3 linked regions of the Rattus norvegicus genome follow. The protein of the gene in region 1 interacts with the protein of each later gene in a pairwise test. Links are inferred from orthologs where the notes say so. Each region holds a gene or a part of one and is shown in the gene's direction. Other genes may lie near its edges.

Evidence for each region.
Region 2: the proteins of Dnaja3 (region 1) and Atosb interact in binary tests that used the Homo sapiens proteins (3 or more experiments, as listed by UniProt). The link is inferred for Rattus norvegicus from reciprocal best matches to the Homo sapiens genes DNAJA3 and ATOSB.
Region 3: the proteins of Dnaja3 (region 1) and Tcf19 interact in a two-hybrid assay, tested with the Homo sapiens proteins (2 studies listed by BioGRID and IntAct). The two-hybrid records come from large-scale screens. The link is inferred for Rattus norvegicus from reciprocal best matches to the Homo sapiens genes DNAJA3 and TCF19.

Annotation. Positions count from the first base shown.
Region 1 is NC_086028.1:11,381,660-11,389,525, reverse strand, and holds the start of Dnaja3 (dnaJ homolog subfamily A member 3, mitochondrial), read left to right. Parts: upstream 1-2,926; 5' UTR 2,927-2,958; coding exon 2,959-3,169; intron 3,170-6,036; coding exon 6,037-6,170; intron 6,171-7,756; coding exon 7,757-7,840; intron 7,841-7,866. UniProt on the Homo sapiens protein: Modulates apoptotic signal transduction or effector structures within the mitochondrial matrix. Affect cytochrome C release from the mitochondria and caspase 3 activation, but not caspase 8 activation.
Region 2 is NC_086023.1:62,059,875-62,065,823, reverse strand, and holds the start of Atosb (atos homolog protein B), read left to right. Parts: upstream 1-1,210; 5' UTR 1,211-1,488; intron 1,489-1,501; exon of another isoform or gene 1,502-1,641; intron 1,642-3,937; exon of another isoform or gene 3,938-4,528; intron 4,529-4,709; 5' UTR 4,710-4,853; intron 4,854-5,100; 5' UTR 5,101-5,175; coding exon 5,176-5,949. UniProt on the Homo sapiens protein: Transcription regulator that may syncronize transcriptional and translational programs.
Region 3 is NC_086038.1:3,222,055-3,228,202, forward strand, and holds Tcf19 (transcription factor 19), read left to right. Parts: upstream 1-1,409; 5' UTR 1,410-1,479; intron 1,480-1,752; 5' UTR 1,753-2,042; coding exon 2,043-2,280; intron 2,281-3,112; coding exon 3,113-3,662; intron 3,663-5,074; coding exon 5,075-5,081; 3' UTR 5,082-5,515; downstream 5,516-6,148. Other genes in the region: Cchcr1 (coiled-coil alpha-helical rod protein 1), read right to left, coding at 224-421; Pou5f1 (POU domain, class 5, transcription factor 1), read right to left, coding at 6,006-6,148. UniProt on the Homo sapiens protein: Potential transcription factor that may play a role in the regulation of genes involved in cell cycle G1/S transition. May bind to regulatory elements of genes, including the promoter of the transcription factor FOXO1.

The DNA of each region.
Region 1 (7,866 bases):
GGGGCAGCGTGGACCATAAAAGCTTATACACAGGTGCAGTAAGTGCTGCTGGGTAGCTGGTTCGGGGCCAAACTTACAAAACAGTTCTACCGACTTCTGTCATGATTGGTTTCCAGGGGCACAGAACAGAACAGAATATGTAGTCAATCTTGGCATCAGAAAGTTTCCTAGTAGCAGCAGAAACTTACGAGACAGTTTCGTTAGAACAGCAGACTATCAAAGGCAGGTTCTCCGGAAGCGCAGCAAGAACTCTTACCTGCAGATCCATCTCTCTAGCTCCAATAAAAATGATTCTTGCGGGGCTTGGGGATTTAGCTCAGTGGTAGAGCGCTTGCCTAGGAAGCGCAAGGCCCTGGGTTCTGTCCCCAGCTCCGAAAAAAAGAACCAAAAAAAAAAAAAAATGATTCTTGCAAGGCTCCGTGGTGCCCATCTGTAGTCTTAGCAGTTTTCGAGAGTGAGTGCGAGGCTGGCTTGAGCTCACAAGTTGGAGACTAGCTTGGGCCCTCTAAGGAAGGATGGAGTTTCTATAGTGCATACAGCAGAGACTAAGACTTGAGAGGAGGAGCTCCCACATTTTTTCCTGAGTTCTTGCTCTTAGTCACTGTGCTGGGGATATTTAGATGCATTTGCTGCCGAGTGCATGCTAGGAACTCTTGTTCCCTCTCAGCCCCTGCGCCTTCTTCCCTGTTTGACCGAGATGCTCCTCGTTCACATCAATGACTCAAGGCTATCACAGGAGCTCTCCATGCACTTTACAATAGCTCTGTAACTGCTTTCCGCTTGATTGGTAGTTCTTAAAGATTTATTCATTTTATTTATATCAGTACATTGTAGCTGTCTTCAGACACACCAGAAGAGGGCATCAGATCCCATTACAGATGGTTGTGAGCCACCGTGTGGTTGCTGGGAATTGAACTCAGGACCTCTGGAAGAGCAGTTGGAGCTCTTAACCGCTGAGCCATCTCTCCAGCACCTGATTGGTAGTTTTTGACTCGAGTCTCAGAATCCACTGAGAATTTGGCTGGTGAAGGTTATGGATATCTACCTGGGATAACATACACACAAATTCTGGGTACAAAACTGGGAGTAGAAAGTGGCAGTGTGCTCTCTCTCATGCTCATGCACATTTGTGTGTGTGTGCACGCACGTGCATTGTGTGGTGTCTCCATTGATCATTCTAAACCCATTCATGAGCCCTCAGATTCCCTTCCTTTTATTTGGGACGGTGGTGAAAAATTTAACTTTCACAACTAACCAGGCCCAATTTAGCTTTCTAGCTTCGTTTTCAGTTACATACTAAAGGTAAGGTTTTAGCATACACTCCTACACCTTCAGACACCAGCTTTGATATATATATACACAAACTGATGGCATGACTGCTCCATAGTATGCTAGACCTGGTCATTAGAGGAGAGAGAGAGAGAGAGAGAGAGAGAGAGAGAGAGAGAGAGAGAGAGAGAGAGAGATAGAGAGAGAGAGAGAAACACTGAAAACAGCAGGGTTATAAGGTGAATGAGTAGCTTGAGGAAGGGGAACCCGTGAGCTGGGGAGTTTGGAGTAGGGAGATGAGAAGAGCTGGGAATGTGTAACTGGTATTTATGGTACTAAGGGAACCTGAAGGCCTGATGTGCTTTGGTATGCTAATAGTCACCAGAAATAGTCACATGTCCCTTCTGCCAGGAATAAGGAGAATGACTCTTTTTGATACAGGGAACCAACTTTACAAGTTTGTTTGTTTGTTTGTTTGTTTGTTTTTTGTTTTTTTTTTTTCAGAGACAGGGTTTCTCCGTGTAGCCCTGGCTGACCAGGTAAGCCTCAACCTCGGCGAGATCCACTTATCTCTACCTCCCAAGTGTTGGGATTAAAGGTATGCGACACCATTGCTGGTTTTTATCCTACCACTAGAAATCTTCCTGTACTACAGGTTGAGTCCTTTTCTAGATATTTGGAGTTTGGGAAGTTGGAGTCTCCTTTGGACCCGAGATGAGGTCTCATGTAGCCCCGAGTATCTTGAACTTGCTATATAGTTGAAAATGATCTTGAACTCCTGATCCTCCTACCTCGATCTCATCTGGCAACTTCTGCTGCACTCATCACTTGGAAATCTACATCTGTACTCGATACTCTTTTCATCAAAGTCCAGTTATAGACATTACAACTCAGAAAGTTTAACAGTCCATAGACATTACAACACAGAAAGTTTAACAGTCCACCTCCCTCTCTTCCAGCCAAGTCTAACGAGTTTGAGTACACCGGCATGCTTGTAACTATGCACCTCTGATAGCGTAGCGCTTACCGTTGTTAACTTAATAAGAAGTCTGTCCCTATGAGGCGAGTTTGCTCCTCTAGTACGGGTTTGCTCTTACATTAAATTCTAGAACATGGATAACAAACAGCAGGTGCACAATACATAATAGGCATTCACAATGCTCATTGAATTCTCGCTGCAGGTTTGGAGAAGGCTAACATGCTTAAGACGGACCTGAGTGTTTCAAGTTCAGCTGCGAGGGAATCAGGCACGGAAAAACAGCAGCCAACAACCGGGGTAAGGGCTTTCTGAGAGAACATGAAATAAGAGGTAACGTTCAGGGTCAAGGGAGGGCATCCGCACGCGGCATACCGGAATCTGATACTGACGCTGCGCTGTCTGCTGGGATTTGTAGTCCCTCCCAGGGCAAGGCTCGCCGGATTACGGTTGCTACACTCAACCACAACATTCACAAGTAAAGTGCAGCATTCGTTCGTACATCACAAAAATTCCAATACAGGGAAAAATTACAAACTGACATCCTCATAGTTTAGCACTTGTACACGTTGACGTAGAGTTCTACCGTTCGGAGACGGAAGCGCGTGCGCAATGCTTACGCTCTGCGTGCAGCAGATGCTTCGCCTCCGGAAGTCGCGACCGGCGAGGCGGGCTAGGGGCGGTCTGCGCAGGCGCAGTGTCCCCGGGCCAAAATGGCTGCGCGGTGTTCCCCACGCTGGTTTAGGGTGGCGGTGGGGACCCCCCGGCTGCCGGCTGCAGCGGGGAGAGGGGTCCAGCAGCCCCAGGGGGGCGTAGTGGCAGCATCCCTGTGTCGCAAGCTGTGTGTCTCTGCCTTCGGGCTTTCCATGGGCGCTCACGGCCCCCGGGCGCTGCTGACATTGAGACCCGGTGTCCGCCTCACAGGTGAGGGAGGCTTCCAGTTCTGGAGTAGCAGCTCTTGGGGTTAGAAAGGGCAATTCGCCTCCATCTGACGACCAGGGTAGCGGGATGGAGGTGTCTTCCGGCCAGAGAGAGGAATTTCTGGGGACACAGGCAAGCAGGAGGCAGAGAGGCCAAGGTGCTGGCTACCCAGAAGCCGTCGAGGGGGAAGAGCTGCGTGGAGCTGGAGGTGTTGAAAGGCTCCGAATACCATGAAGACCTGTCAACAGTTCACCCCTCTGTCCAGGCTGCAACTCCCTTGTCATAACCCTCCCCGTTTTTCTTCACGTTCTAGCTTGTAGTGGAAGATGTAACTGCCATTTAGTGAGTGCTAGGCACCCAGAAATTTAGGGAGATACAGGTGCTTGTCCTCATTAAGGTGGGAAAGTGTGATGAATTGTCATTTCATAGCTTTCATCCTCAACATCACGGGGTGTAAATGGAAGGGCATCCATCAGTCTTTTAGAATCTTTAAGTCAGTGAGTGTAATAATGTAATCTAACATTTATTAAACACTGTGTAGGAAGTATGATTTCACTCCTGGAAAATATTTCAATGTGACAGGCATTGTTACCATTACATTTTATGGAGAAACAGGCTTGCATGTTAAAAAAAAAAAACAAAACTTGAGAAAGTCACAAAGCTAAAAAGCGGTAGTCTCTGCATGGCCCTTAACCTTCCTTACTGCTGGAGATGATACCAAATTAGTGTGCATTAAGCCTTGACATGTTTTAGCCATGCTCTCTTCTTTCTCTTTAAAAAATATTTTTTAATTATTTTGAGTTATGTATATGTGTGTGTATGTGTGGGTATGTGCTCTTAAGTACAGGTGTCCAAAGAGGCTAGAGGCATCTTATCCCCCTGGAGTTATGGGCAGTTATGAGCTGCTATACTTAGGGTCTAGGAACTGAACTTGTGTCCTCTACAAGAGCAGTATGTGCTTTTTTTTTTTTTTTCTTTTTTTTTTCTTTTTTTTCTTTTTTTCGGAGCTGGGGACCGAAACCAGGGCCTTGTGCTTCCTAGGCAAGCGCTCTACCACTGAGCTAAATCCCCAACCCCCAGTATGTGCTTTTAATTGCTGAGCCATCTTTCCAGCTGCCACGATATTTTCTTTTCTTTTCTTTCCTTTTTTTTTTTTTTTTTTTTCCGGAGCTGGGGATTGAACCTAGGGCCTTGCGCTTGCTAGGCAAGTGCTCTACCGCTGAGCTAAATCCCCAACCCCGATATTTTCTTATACTATGTTATTCCACTTCATTTTCAGTGAGAATGAAGGAAGGAAGTCCTGAACTTTACTTTGGGTAGTTCTAAGGATCAAGAACAGAGGGTCTCATGCATGCCTTAAAGCGTTTTTTAAATTATGTATCCGTGTGTGAGAGAGACATAGAGGCATTAAGTATTACTTATATATGGAAGCATTACTGAAGAACCACCGTTGGCATTCCTCAAGTCAGCCCATAGGCTGCAGTGGGCATATTTTATCTCTCAAGTGACCATAGATGTGAAAGTGTCATCCTGTAGTGGTGTATCCTACCACATCTAAGTCATCAATTTGGCCCCAAACTTTAGCCTGTGATCATTCTTGAAGACTGATTTATAAAATCATATGGCATGAAAAATGTCCCAAGCAGGGCCTGGAGAGATGGCTCAGCTGTTGGGAACTCAAGACTGCTTTTCCCGAGGACCCAGGTTCAATTTCAATTCCCAGCACCCATATGGTAGCTTTCAGCTGACTGTGGCTCTGGGTCCAGGGGATCTGACACCCCTTCACAGACATACATTCAGTCAAAATACCAAAACATATGAAATAAACAAGTCATTAAGAAAGAAATCTCCCAACTAGAAAGAAATTAATAACTGGCTACTGGATTAGGCTTTCTTGGAATAATATGAAGACTGATCCTATTCTGGGTTCAAAAACAGCAAGATATTTACTGGACATATTCTGGAGAAAAAAAAAGATTCTTCCTAACAGTTGCTAATCATTGTCACCTTCAGAATTGGAAAAGGCATCCACCATGTAATAGTTGCCTGTGGTTATTTGTGCAGTTTCCTTGAGCTCTCTGATGGTGTTGTAGAAGCTGGTACAGCTGCCAAACTTTTGCCACTAATAGACTCAACTCCTGACAGTGGAAGGAGTGAGGAGAACAGGAATACAGCTAGGCATATATTGAGCAAAGAGGTGGAATATAGGATCACCAAGATCCAGGTCTCATGCTTTCTCCGGTGTGACTGAAGAAACAATAACAGCCCCCCCTTTAAATCATATTCTGATTATTTCTGATTATTCCTGCTCGTTTTTTATTATTACTCCTTTTTTCTACATGTGCTCAGCCTCTCTAGCTAATGTTTTTTGTTTGTTTTTGTTTGTAGTTTGGTGTCATATGTACCAGGCTGGCCTGGAACTTTTGTGTAGCTATGAATGGACCTTGAACTTTTTTTTTTTTTTTTCCCCCCTCAGGGCTGGGGATTGAACCCAGGACCTTGCGCTTCCTAGGCAAGGCTCTACCACTGAGCCAAATCCCCAACCCCGACCTTGAACTTTTGATCCTCTGTTTCCCTCTCCCCATGTTAAGACTGTGGGCATGTGCTCATCGTCACTGTTGTGCTGGGTTTATTCAGTGCAGGGAATCAAACTCAGGGCCTGGTAAGCAGTGTACCTACTGAACTATGTCCCTAAGCTTTCCCCACATTTGAAGAACATTGAGTTTGGCCTCTAGAGTACTCGAAGGGAATAGGCCCTATAGCTGGGGCTCGTTTCCTCTTTCACAGGTGTTTCATAGCTGGTCACTTACTTATAATTTCTTCTTGTTGGATAAAGTCCCAGACCAACTTACTTTCTTGTTCATTTCCAGGAACAAAAAGTTTCCCTTTTGTTTGTACTGCTTCCTTCCACACAAGTGCTTCTTTGGCCAAAGATGATTATTACCAGATACTGGGAGTACCCCGAAATGCCAGCCAGAAGGATATCAAGAAAGCCTATTATCAGGTCTGTACTGGTCTCAGATTTACTGACAAGACTGTAGAAAGATTGCTGGTCACTGTGTGTGCATGTGCATGTGTATGTGTGTATGTGATGCAGATGTTCACAGAGGGCAGGGATCCCCTTGGGATTATAGTTACAGGCAGCGTGAACCATCTGCCACGGCTGAGAATTGAGTTCAGGTCTTTTGGAAAAGGGGTATGTGCTCTTAGCTACTGAGCTATCTCTTCAACCCAAATCGTTGTTGATTCTGTGTGGTTCTTATTGCCTTGGTATACAGCCTGCTGAGGCAGGTCACAAACAGCTGATCCTGTGGAATGACCTGTGAAAGATGGAGAGTTTTGGATGCCTTTGGTATGCAGTGAATGTGATATCAGTTAATGTTGCTTTAAGAAAGAAAAGGGGTGGGTAAGATGGCCCAGTGGATAAAGTCATTTGACACCAAGCCTAGTGACCTGAGTTTAATTCCTCCAAAACCATTTTAAACAGGAGAGAACTGACTCCACAAAGTTGTCCTCTGACCTCTACATGTATACCATGCTGACCACACAGTTATGACATAAATAAATGAAAATTATATAGGAAAACATCATCATTATTATTTTTTATAGCAGTAACTGCCATGAGTGCATTACATAATCCCTCAAAACCTTGCACAGCAGGCAGGCCAGGTATGGTTGTGCATGCCTTTTTATCCCAGTCCTGGGAGACAGAGGCAAGCAAAGTTCTGTGAGTTTAAGGCCAGTTTCTCTCAAAACAAACAAACAAAAAAACCAAAAAACCCACAAAAAACAAAGCCAGGCAGTGGTGGCGCATGCCTTTAATCCCAGCACTCAAGAGGCAGAGTCAGGGGGATCTCTGAGTTTAAGGCCAGCCTGGTGAACAGAGCTCATTCCAGGACAGCCGGGGCTTCATAAACCCTGACTTGTAAATCCAAACAACCAAAGTCGTACAGGTTATTTACTTCCTCTATTACATAAGTCAGTGTGCCAGGATGGCGTTTTACTCTCTGCTTTCACACAGGCGCCTGCATGCCGAAGAGCTAGTCACACAGTTACCAGCTACTTTCTAACATTTATTTATTTTTGGTTTATGTGCATGAGCGTTTGTCTCATGCATGTGTGCTGCATGCGTTCTCCGTGCCTTCAGCGATCAGCAGAGGACGTCAGACTGGAGTTTTAGAGTTGTGAGCTACCACAGGAGCTGGCAACTCAGTCCAGGTCCTCTGCAAGGGTACTAAATGCTTTTTTTACTTTAAGTTTTTTTATTATGTAGAGTGTTCTAACTGCATGTGTATGGCTCACCAGAAGATGGCACCAGATCTTATTCTAGAAGGTTACTGAGAATTGAACTCAGGACCTCTGGGAGAGCAGCCAGTGCTTTTAACTGCTGAGTCATCGCTCCAGCCCCTTAATGAACTATTTTTGGAAGACATCCATGGAGGAATGATTTATTTTCAAATTTTAAATCTTGCTTTAAAGATACATTGCTGTCTCAAGAGAGACATGTTATAAAAAGGCATAATTGTGGCAAGTGTTTAGGTTCTGTTTTAGTAACTATATCTATAGTAATTTGCTTTCCCCCCCCCTTAGCTTGCCAAGAAATATCATCCAGACACAAATAAGGATGATCCCAAAGCCAAGGAGAAGTTTTCCCAGCTGGCAGAAGCTTATGAGGTAATGTGACGTGTGTGTGTGTGTGT
Region 2 (5,949 bases), on another chromosome or scaffold:
ATGGTCCTTGGGGCTCATCGCATAGGCAAAGCACAGGCCTTTACTTCTTTTGGTTCTGCTGTTTGTTCCATTTCTGTGACTGAGAAAAGGCCTGAGTTGGTGACAACCTGTCTGACCCACTGATAAGTTCAGAGGACAAGGTAGACAAGGCTACCCATCTTCTCAGGTTATCTCCAGAGCAGTCCCTCTAAAAAGTGTCTATGAATGTCCAGGCCTTGCAAAAATTCCACCCCGATTATTTACAGAGCTAAGGACAAAGGTTAGGGATGCTTATTCTGCTACTGCTTAATTTGGCTGGCTCTGGGCTGGGCCTGGGGCCCAGTGACTCAAGGGGAGCTTGGTGAGTTTCGAGGGAGCTGTGAGTCATGAAGACTAACTTGGTCTCCAGACTGACTCTGGGCAGAAGGCCTTTTAACTCACTGCTGAGGATACTCTGCTTCCTTGGAGCAGAGGTCTGTTAGCAAAGAGTGCTCCAAAGCCTGATCCGTGAAGAGTTTTGAGCCCAACGGATGAGGCCTGAATCCCTGAAATTTAAATGTATTTTTATCTCAGGAGCCTCCTGGGGTCTCCAAACAAAGGCAAAAGGGAGGGGGGTGCGAATGCCATCTTTCAGTATGGATGGAGATACGGTACGACTTTAGGTCTTTTTTTGCCTGCTTTTGTAGAAAGCTTACTAGATAGCAACAACGCTCTTGGAGCTCTATTTCGGGATGGGGTGGGGGGATGAATGGGCTTGGGGTTATGTGTGGTTGTGTTTGGTATGAGTTGGAGATTGTTGAACTGTATCTGTGAAAGCCCTGGAGCTTCCTATTAATTTACTTAAGAACAGGAAGTGTGGAGGAGAAAGATTTGTTGAGCGCTGAGAGGATGAAGTCTGAATGAGGTTAAATGACAGGGCAGAGAATTGCTTAGGACTTGGACAGAAAAAAGGGTTAAGGAGGTGGGCGGGGCGACATTGGGTAGGCCTGCCCTTATGTGGACCAATAGGCGTGCGCCCCTTGGAGAGGGCGTGACTCACGCTTGAGGTTGCTGAGAGGCTGGCCTCCACTGGACCAATGAACATAGTTGTTGCCCTTGGAGGGTGTGGTCTGAGGGGGGCGTGGCAGCCGTGGTCGCAGTGCTGGGGGTGGCTGGGCGCTGGGCGGGGCGGGCGGCCCCATCAGCTGGTAGGAAATGGCCTGTGAGTCAGAGGGGCAGCTGAGTCTGCGGCGAGGAGCCGGGGCGGCCCCGGGGAGGGACCGTCGCAGGGAGGGGTGCAACAGCAGCTAGAGGGGCTGCGTACGCCAGAGCCCGCTAGTGTTGCACACGAAGCTGATCAGAGAAGAGCCAAGCAGAGCAAGGCTCTCAGCCTAAGCCACCCTTTGTCTGGGTTGGGGGCCCGTAGTAGGGGGGACTGGTTATCCGAGGGGAGGGACAGGGATCGGAACGGGGACGGGACGGAAGGGCCCGGAGCAGCGGCCACCGCGGCGGAGCCAATTTGGGAGTGGGGTGAGTGTGTACTAGGTGGAAGGATCAGATCTCCAAAACCTCTGCACGGTATGGGGCCTGTCCCAGCCTGTGAAGAAGGGATGAGAACCGACCTGGGAGGCTGAGCAGGGGGTGGGGGGGAAATCGTCCAGGACAAGGAGTCCAGGAGCCAAGGTGAGTCTCCGTGTCTGAGTTTGGAGGGGTCCCTGAGGTCTGCTCCCTCTCTATTAAGGGTGAAGGGCTCTAGGCCAGGAGTCAGAGGGAGGGAAGGTGAAAAGCAGAGATTGACCTTTCTACTCACAGCAGTGGTCTTGGGAACAGTCACCTTAGCGTGTATAGACATGTATGAGGACAAAATGTACAGCAGTGAGCAGCGGAACTCTGCCTAGGATAAGAGTGGAAAACACATGGATAGGAATTCTTCCCCCACCTCGTTAGGGTAAAAATGGGTGTCTTGAAACTGAAGGGAAGGATAGAATGAGCCTAGGTGTTCTTCCTGTACCACAACCTCTCCCACCTCCCAAGTCTAACAAGTATCTGAGGGTACAGACCTCATGGTATTCTGGGACTTGTTGTTTTTGCTGACCTTGCTCTCGGCATGTTGGGAGCTGTAGTCCTTGGCAGCCACAGTCTGGCACAGCTGTTTAATGCCAGCTGCTGCCCATCCCCAGTGTAGAGGGCGAGGTTTGGCTTATACTGGCCTGTCCCCTCTCCCTGCAGTCCTTCCCCATGAGTCAGCTTGAAGCTGGGTGGCAGAGGAGTGAGTCTTAGAGCGTCTCTGGACAGGGAGGGAACTAATAGGGCTCTGGATTAATGAGCAGATGCCAGGCATGCTGGGGTCAAGTAGGGCATCATGTCATCACCTGGCTTCCTTGAGGCAAGAGCTCAGGAGGGCAACTGAGATGACCTGGAAATTGGGGTGCTCAAGAAAACGCCCTTCTTGAACTTTAAAGCCTGGGTGGAGAACAGGCAGGGAAGAAATGAGAACAGGTTATACTCTCATGACACTGCCACTACTGACGTTCTCCACTTTCTAGCCATCTCACCCACGGGAAGGACCAGAATATTCTTAGGATCTCATTCAAAGGGGGACCTGGCGAAATGGCAAAGTATGGCCTGAAAGGAAGGCAACAGTTGATGTGGGAGAGTTTCTCAGTCCCTAAGTGTAAATGTCACCTTTCTCTCCGTCTCCTACAACCACATGAGCTGCTGCAGTTTCCCCCTGTACAATTAATCTCTCCACTCTTCACCCGTAGTGTTTCTCTACACTGTCAGGACTGCTGACCAAATCACTAGTGCTAGTATTTAGGCTTTTTTGAATTCTGATGTGTGTTTCTCCTGAGCTTGAAATGGGACTGGGGAAGAAACACAGACCCATCCTCAGGTGTGACATAATCAGAAGTAAACGGAAGTATTACCGGGTTACAGAAAGTAGTTAGTGGCACTGTCTTATGGAAGTCTGAGATGAGAGATCTTTTGGAGGGGAATGACTTTGAGATATCCGTGAAAGAGGGGTGGGAAAAGGTATTTTGTTATATTTGTTGGGCTTGGTTCTAGTTTTTGTTTTGTTTTGTTTTGTTTTCTGGAGACAGGTTTTTCACTGGGCTGGCTTTGAACTCAGAGATTTGCCTGGCTGTGCCTCCAGAGTGTGTGAACTAGCGTGTACTACCACCCTTCAGCTTCTTTGTTGGTTTTGTGTTTTGTCTGAGATAGGATGTCTTGTAGCCCCGTCTAACCGTCTGACCTTAACTGTCTGGTGGAGTGTGAAGGCCGGCTGTAACCTGTTTTTCATTTGTTTCTTTTTGTAATTTTTGTTTTGTTTGATTTTGACAGAGGACCTCTCAAAATGTAGCTAGACTGGTTTAGATCCTCCTGCCTCAGCCTCTAGCATTATGATAAAGGGCATTATGGTTGGTATTCCTCACAGACTGCTGACCAAATAAGGATGACAGTGGGGACTGTTGGCCTTCAACTTGACAGTCTGGTCACTGAAATATTGGCTAATGGTCTGTGAAGACCATTTTTGTGCCATGGCAACAAAGAAATGCTTTAGGTTTTTTTGAGTACTGGTTGTGCCTGAGGGGGAGGGGCATGGGGAGATACTCCAGTTGTTTCTAGTTGACTGCTTGCTGCTTCCTTATCTCTGGTTTGCAGGGCCTGGGGGGAGGGGTGGGAACTATAAAGTGCCTTCTGACAGTTCTCTCCTTCCATCCCTTGTTTTTGGTTAGATTTCTTTTTTTTTTTTTAAAGATTTATTTATTTATTATATATAAGTACACTGTAGCTGTCTTCAGATACACCAGAAGAGGGCATCGGATCTCTTTACAGATGGTTGTGAGCCACCATGTGGTTGCTGGGAATTGAACTCATGACCTCTGGAAGAGCAGTCGGGTGCTCTTAACCGCTGAGCCATCTCTCCAGCCCTAGATTTCTTTTTTTGTTTTTTTTTGTTTTTCTTTTTTGGGGGTGGAGGGGTTAGGGGGTGAAGGTAACAGGGTTTCTCTGTATAGCCCTGGCCATCCTGAAACTCTCTCTGTAGACCAGGCTGGCCTTGAACTCAAAGAGACCGGCCTGCCTCTACCTTCCCAGTCCTGGGATTAGAGGTGAGCACCACCAATCCCAGCACCACCACTGCCCCGCTTTGGATTTCTTTTCTCTGTTAAAAAGACAGATTTCTGGGGAAAGTTAGTATTTTAAGTGTGAAGGGCTGGCCTGGAGCTGACTTGGGGTTTGTAGTTGTGTGATGGGGTGTGCCTATCTGCATGACCTCTGCTCTTAGCACTCTGGAGTCGCACTTGCCCCTTTGTATAGACATATGGAGATGAGTTGTGTAATTGGAGGGCCTTGAGTAAGAGAAGAACACTGTTACCCTGTCCACCTACTAGCTGACATGGAATCTCTCTGATCTTTGAGGCATCTTACCCCTCCCCCCCTCCCCCACCCCACTATGCAGAGCCACTTCCCAAGATGGAGGCCTTGACAAGTGGTTCATCTTGCCTCTACTCATTTCTCACATCCTTAAGACAGTCAGCCAAGACTTGCTTCTGTGTTGAGTCCTCAGGTAGCCCAATTCTTATGCATGTGCCCTAGGTCTCCAGCCTGCCCCTTCTATTCCTGAAGAGTTTATCCCAAAGCGGGAAGATATCTTGGTGTATGTGCCGATATAGTAGCCCATATTAGTGTTGGGGGGATCTTACCATTGGCTGCAGGGATCCCAGCTTATATTTCCTCTTTTCCCTCAGGGTCCAACTGAGCCCAGGAGCTGCGCGGAATGGTGGCAGTCACCTTGCCGGTGCAGTGGGCATGGACCAGACTGCAAGCTAGAGGGACAAGACATCAGACAGGAAAAGAGGACACACGCCCAGGCTTGAGGCTTCTTCATCGGGGTAACTTCCAGGAAAGAGGGGAGGGGTGTATTGCAAGTCCAGTAGGAAACTGGAAGAGAAGGTGTGCCCCTCCCAGGAGTTCCGAGAGTGGTCTCTGACTTTCATTGGTCTGTCCAGGGATTTGGACAACTTTACCCCCAACAAATTGCTCAAAGTCATCTGTTGAGGAGAGAGGGAGGATCTGAAACTCTGCTGGAAGAAAGAAGACTCCTTGATTCTCCTGACCTCCTGTTTTTCTTTCCTACAGATGTCCCCAGGCCTCCCAGCCCAGGCCCAGCATAAAGGCCGTGTGGGGGGGCCCCCCTGACCCAAGGGGGGCTTCATGCGCCACGTGCAGGCGGAGCTGTCTCCATCCTCAGAGCCAGAGGCTGGCCCTTCACAGCCTCCAGTCACACAGGGGACCCTCCAGGGTGGCCTGCTCATGGGCTACAGCCCAGCAGGGGGGGCAACATCCCCCGGGGTCTACCAGGTATCCATCTTTTCCCCTTCAGCTGGCGTCTCCGAGCCTCCTAGGGCTCTGAAGCGGCCGGCCCCTTCCACTGAGGGTCCCCGGGAGCTGAAGAGAGGCCCTGGGCTGGGGGCCAGAGAGGGACTACCCCCCGAAGAACCATCTACTGTGGGACTCGTGAGCCCAGAGGGACTGGGTCTGGGACTGGGTGTGGCTAGCCAGCATTTCTCCCACCATGGCCTCCGTGTTGTGGAACAAGGAGGTAGTGCCACCTCATCTTGGACTTCAGGGACCCAGAGTACCCCCTGGCCCTCATCAAATGCTTCCTGCAATACTTTGCACACCAGAGACTGGGCTTTCCCAGATCAAGGGGGACAGGGGTGCCTGGGGGAGTCTCCAGGGCCAGCCCCTTCAGGCCAGCTGCACACACTTGACACTGATTTGCACAATCTTGCACAAATAGGGGGTAAGAGCCCAGTGGCTAGGGTGGGCAACGGGAGCAACCCTTGGCCTAGGGAGTCCCATGGAACTGCCAATGGGCACAGTCCCGAGCACACACCCCCTGGCCCTGGACCTCCAGGCCCCTGCCCCACCAAGCGAAGGCTGCTGCCTGCTGGAGAAGCCCTTGATGTCAGCTCTGAAGATGAG
Region 3 (6,148 bases), on another chromosome or scaffold:
TTCCAAAGAGAAAGCCCTATAACAACAAAGTCATAATCCTTAAGTTACTGGCAGGTCTATCCGGCCATAGGCTTCTCTTTTCCTACTTCCCTAAGAAGACAGACCATAGCCAAACCACTTGTTTGTCCCAACCATGCTCTAACGAACCAGGCGACAACCCTAAGGTAAATTTGCTGAGATGAAGGCTTGCTTCTACTTACAGGATTCTGGGTGTTGCCTTTACCTTCCTCCTTAAGTGTCTACGGTCCCTGCAGCTCAGGACTCTCTGAACACAGTATAGGGAACCCAGTCTCCACAGTCCTCGCCACGGAATGGTAGGCCCGTTGGGAAGCCCATCTAGGCACCATCGAGTCACGATTTCTGGGTCATTTCCTATTAAAGGGTTAGCCCAAGGCCTGGCCCCAGAAGAATGAGGCCACATGTGGGGTTAAGCGGCTTCCCTAGGATCCCCGAGGGAGGAACCCGCGCAGCCTGGAAGCCCGTTGCTGGGAAGCCAGCTTCCTGCTAACTCATCTGTGCCTCTCTGTAACTGGCTTCAGTTGCACTCTATCCCCTAGGGGATTTCCATCCCCGATGCACCTCTCTTCAGAGTCCTACAGCATCTCCTTTCCCCCACTTCCGTTAATTCAAGTTTTTTTTTTTTTCACTCGACCCCCGAAATTCCTACCCGCTTCTCTTCCTAGTCCTAAGTCCTAGTCTGAATCTTTCTCGATGGAATTATCTTGGTGGCTCCCTGTCCTGTCTCCCCCCTCTCCTCTCCCGCACACACTCCTGGCTCAACCCTATCAGGACCACCCTGAACTCTGAGGCTGTCTTGACCTCCTCATCTGTCCCTTGACCCGACTCCTGCACCCCTCTTGCCCTGTGGACCCCCCCTCCGCCCCCCTTGTACCCCCTCTCAGACTCTTTCCGCCCCCAACTGACTCTGCCCGAACGCCCCTTACCCAGCGCGAGATCCGCCCTCTTGCCACGCCCCTTACACCTAGCTCCCAGTCTAGACGCCACACCCTGATCACGCATGCGCGAAGCGGGTGTGTTGGCGGGCTGCTCTACAGCACCATTTCTCCCCTACCGGAAATAGGAAGAAGAAAGGTGCACGCAGGAACACCGACGCCCAAGATCTTCTCCGCGCCCTGACAGCCCCGCCCCTTCCCGGGAACCCGGGAAAACGTGCCGGCCAATCAGAAGTGGCGGAGGGCGGGAGATAGGCAACCCCTGCCCACGCACCGACCAATAAAGCAGAGGGACGCAACTCAAATGACCAATCAGAAGCAGACCGCGGGAGCAGGCTCGCGGGCGCGAAAGTCGGACCCGGGAATTCCGAGGGAGGAGTCTGCGCGGCGCGCGCGCGCGCGCGCTCGCCCACCCAAGCCGCGCCCTCGGGGCGGCTTCCCTGGCTGTCAAACCGCGGCGGGAGCGCGGCGCCCAGGGTGCTGAGTCTCTTTCCTCAGTTTACCCCGCGAGCGAAAAAAGGAAAGGGTGAGATCCACTTTGTTACAGAATTAGGGACCCGTCTGCACCGCCCTTTGTGGGTGACAGCGGATTCACTTTTCTCAGGGGAACTGGCCCCAAGAACGGGGGAGGATGGAAGGGGTACCCCAGTTAGATTAGCAAGTTTGACCATAAGTTCTCAGGCTCCAGGTTACACTTAGGGTGACAAGGTCGTGTCGCACGCACGTTTATGTAGCAGGACCCCTTTCACCCCCTCTGCATGTTCCCAGCTGCGGATTAAACTAGCTTTGCCCTGCACAGATTGTCAAAGGCTCCCGGATGTTGAGCGGCCTGGGGATCCGGCTTCACTGTGTTGCCGTAGGACGTCTTCCTGGTTTTGCATCGCATCAGGACTTTGCTAGAGTTTTTTCTTAAAACCTCATCTTGACAACCTCTGCTGTGGTGCATGTCCAGGCCTTGGGCGCTCTGAATCTGCACTTCCTAAGTTGGCATCGGAGAGAACTGAACCGAAGCCCACGGCGCATGACCCAGGAGTAGAAGAGGGGAATGGACTGCTAAAGTGGGAGGAGTGGTGCACAGGGGGCACCCCCATGCTGCCCTGCTTCCAGCTGCTGCGCATAGGGGGCGGCAGGGGCGGTGATCTCTATACCTTCCACCCCCCATCCAAGTCTGGCTGCACCTATCGGTTGGGCTGCAGGGCTGACCTGTGTGATGTGGCCCTGCGGCCCCAGCAGGAGCCTGGCCTCATCTCTGGGGTCCATGCAGAACTGCATGCTGAACTCCAAGGGGACGACTGGAGGGTCAGCCTGGAGGATCACAGCAGCCAAGGTAAGCAGTGAGCAGGCAGCCCCCAGGTAGGCATGAGAAAGGGGAGCCTCTGGGAACCTGCTTCGTACTTCCCAGAGTCCTGTCAGTCTCTGTCGAGTGGTCATGGTCCAGTCTTAATTGGCCAGGAGAACTATGCTTCTGTCAGCTCTTCACAGGACTAACCTGTTTGTCTGGTTTTAGCTCACACAGGACCTAGGAGGGGTGTGTTGACTTTCATCAAATTCTATGGATCTAGTATTAAGCTCAGATCTGACTGTTTGCACCTTGCCGTCACTAAGGCAGTTATGAGTGTTCTAGTGACCTAGGCATTCTGTCCTAACCCAAGGCAGCCCCCCCACCCCCCAAGGCTGGGGTTAGGGTTCAGTTCTTAGATTCCTGTTAGGTCAAACACCAGGTTTGGAGAAGCCCTATCTGATGTGTCCTGGGCATTAGTCCCCAACAGGCAAGTGAGTGCTCAGGGTGTTATAGGCTAGGTCTTATTCTGTGTTAGGTGTGAGACACAAAGAAAATGACAGCAAGAGGCAAGTATTGGTGGTGTACTCTGATCTCAGCACTTCAGAGCTGAGGCAGGAGGAATCATGGGTTCTGGGAATCTTAGGAAGGGGGGAAAAAGGGCTGTTTATCCAAGAAGAGCTAAGCCCAGAAAGGAAGCCTCCCGTTGTCATGGAGAAAAATAAGCTTGCTTCTTGGAGTTTAATGCCTGACCCTGTGTTCTCCTGGTGTGTGTTTTGGGGGGGGGGGGGGGGGGCTCGAATGGCCAGACCATCATGGTACTTCTGACTAGAAGCCTGTTCCTGTTCTTGTCAATTGTCTCCTGTCTCACCATTAACAGGGACTTTGGTCAATAATGTCCGACTCCCAAGGGGACACAGGCTGGAGTTGAGTGACGGTGACCTCCTGACCTTTGGCCCCGAAGGGCAAGCAGGAACCAGCTCCTCCGAATTCTACTTCATGTTCCAACAAGTCCGGGTCAAACCTCAGGACTTTGCCGCCATCACGGTCCCTCGGTCCAAGGGAAAAACTGGGGCCGGTTTCCAGCCCATGCTGCCCCCACAAGGGGCACCTCAGAGGCCACTCAGCACCCTCTCCTCTGCCCCCAAGGCCACACTGATTCTCAATTCCATCGGCAGCCTCAGCAAGCTGCAGCCCCAGCCTCTCACCTTCTCCCGTGGCGGTGGCCGGCAGCAGAGCCTGGCCGTTCCCACTCAGCCAGGGGAAGTGGGAGCTTCACCCGCTCCACCCACAAGAAACCGGAGGAAATCGGCTCATAAAGTGTTGGCAGAACTGGATGATGAGAGTGAGGCTTCCCCGGGGCACCTTTCAGTCCTGATGGAGCCCAGGAAGAAGCTGCGTTTGGAGAAAACGGCTCTGATATCCAGTGGGTAAGTAGAGTCCAGCATTAACCTTGTTAGCACCTTGAACCCTAGACTCCGGAACAGCCTCCCTGTGAGGTCTCAGAAGGCAGGGGAGAGGGGTGCACAAACACAGCATGCACCTGGGCTAGCCTTCACCCACAGATGCATGAGAGCCACTATGTGCAAGGCTGGGGGGGTGGGGTGGGGAATAACAGTTAGGATTAGACTATAAAAACAATCTGCATGATGACTACAACATTGTGAGTCTGAGGTCCACATCATAATCAAAAAAAAAAAAAATCTGGGAGGCTGGAGCAGTTGAGAGAACTGACTGCTCTTCCAGAGGTCCTGAGTTCAAGTCCTAGCCACCACACGGCGGCTCACAACCATCTGTAATGAGATTGGATGCCCTCTGACTTGCCCAGGGTTGGAGTCCCAGCAGCATATATAAAAAACTGTATAGACAACTGTCTCTCATGTCATTTTTTTTTTTCCGGAGCTGAGGACCGAACTCAGGGCCTTGCGCTTGCTAGGCAAGCGCTCTACCACTGAGCTAAATCCCCAACCCCAACAACTGTCTCAAAACTAGAAAGCAGGTTAACCCAGGGCTGCTTTTATTTTGTGCATGGCTGTTTTGACTGCCGAGTTGTTCATGCAGTACCAACAGTAGCCAGAAGAGGGCAACGGGTCCTCTGTAACTAGATGGGTAGTTCCTAGCCACTATGTAGGTACTGGGGTTCAAACCCAGATACTCTCTGGAAGAACAGCTTGAGACACCCAATTCTACTTTTTTTAAAAACACAAGGAAGGATCTCACTGTGTAGCCCAGGCTAGCCTCAAATGCCTCAGGTAAATAATAGTCAGGATAGAGCATTCAGAACGGAAACACTAGTGTGTTTCCAGGAATACTCCCGTAGGGGTGGGGAACCCTGTGTAGTGTCTTGCTGCTGCTATAAGTAGCCTGGGTTTTGGTGTGATGGCTGTGATATTTGGTACCATATGACCCACATTGGCTGTAGCACCCAGGGTGCCACGTTGGCACCTTGACTTTGCAGTCAGGGCACAGATGTGGCTCCCTCAACTCAGAGTCAGACAGTGTTAGAATGGATCTTGAGTTGGGAGATGGCTGGGCAGTTAAGTGCACTGGCTGCTCTTCCAGAGAGAGGTCCTGAGTTCAATTGGCAGCAATCACATGGTGGGGCTCACCACCATCTCTAAAAGGGATCTGATGCCTTCTTCTGACCTGCAGATACACATGCAAACAGCACACACTGGAAGACTAAAGAATGGCTTGAAGGGCTGAAGCTGGCTGTGTGTGTGTGTGTGTGTGTGTGTGTGTGTGAGTGAGAGAGAGAGAGAGAGAGAGAGCGAGAGCGGGTGCGCAAAGCACCACTCATTCAAAAGTAACCATGGACTTTGAGAAACGTCTTTCTCCAAAGGGAATGACCACAGGGAGAGGTCCACTGCTAGAGAAGACTGACTCAAGGCTGGAGAGCACTATGGCTGAAGTGACAGGAAAAAGAGCTGCAGCCTCCAAGTTAAGTAACAAGGAGTAAAGCCCCGTTTCCACAAACACCAGGATCCTACAGTTAGAGCATCAATCACAGGAACCATCCCTGAAGGCATTAAGAAGGGGTGCTAAATGTCTTCTTATTTTGCTGAGGCCAGCATACCAGGCAAGTCCCCTGTACTGAGCACCCACCCTAACCCTAATGTTCTTGAACGGCATCGGCTAACGCACCCTGGACGACCCAGAGCACAGCCCCAAGGTTTCGCTCATGCCAAGGCTAGCTAATCCTGCCACCAACTAGGTATTTGTGACTGGCTCTTCGGAGCTTTGCCTTTGATTTCCAAATAAAGAATAAACTGCTTCACCTACATCGGGGCATTCACTGAGTCTCAAGTCTGCAAGATGAGGTGACGAGATCCTTCGGCTGGCAGACTTTAAATCCTCTAGGATGGCAGGCACACAATACCTTCCTCTATAGGTTGACCTCCAACCCCCAATAACCCTTTGGGCGTTTCGTAACCTCCCACGGTTTCAATGGCGCCTGTTCTGAAGACCGCCTGGGTTTGAGAATTCCATTATTGGCTTTCTCCATCCTCAGGCCCTCTAGGAACTGAAGGAAAACAAAATTTAGCTATCTACTGTGTATCCCAGACTTTATTTAAGAACTTAAGAACTTCGGACGGGTTCCTGATCAACAGCGTCACTGAACTTCATCTCTCCCCCCCCGCCCCCCCAACCACCCCTGTTTGTGCTTTCAATTCCTCCCCAGTAAAAGAATCTAGGCCCCAAAGCTTCAGGTTCTCTTTGTCTACCTCCCTTCCTTGCCTTGGCTCACCTCATCCCCAGGGAGGGCTGGTGCCTCAGTTTGAATGCATGGGAGAGCCCAGAGCAGTGACAGGAACAGAGGGAAAGGCCTCGCCCTCAGGAAAAGGGACCGAGTAGAGTGTGGTGAAATGGGGGCTCCCATAGCCTGGAGCACCAAAGTGGGGGCCTGGGGGCAGAG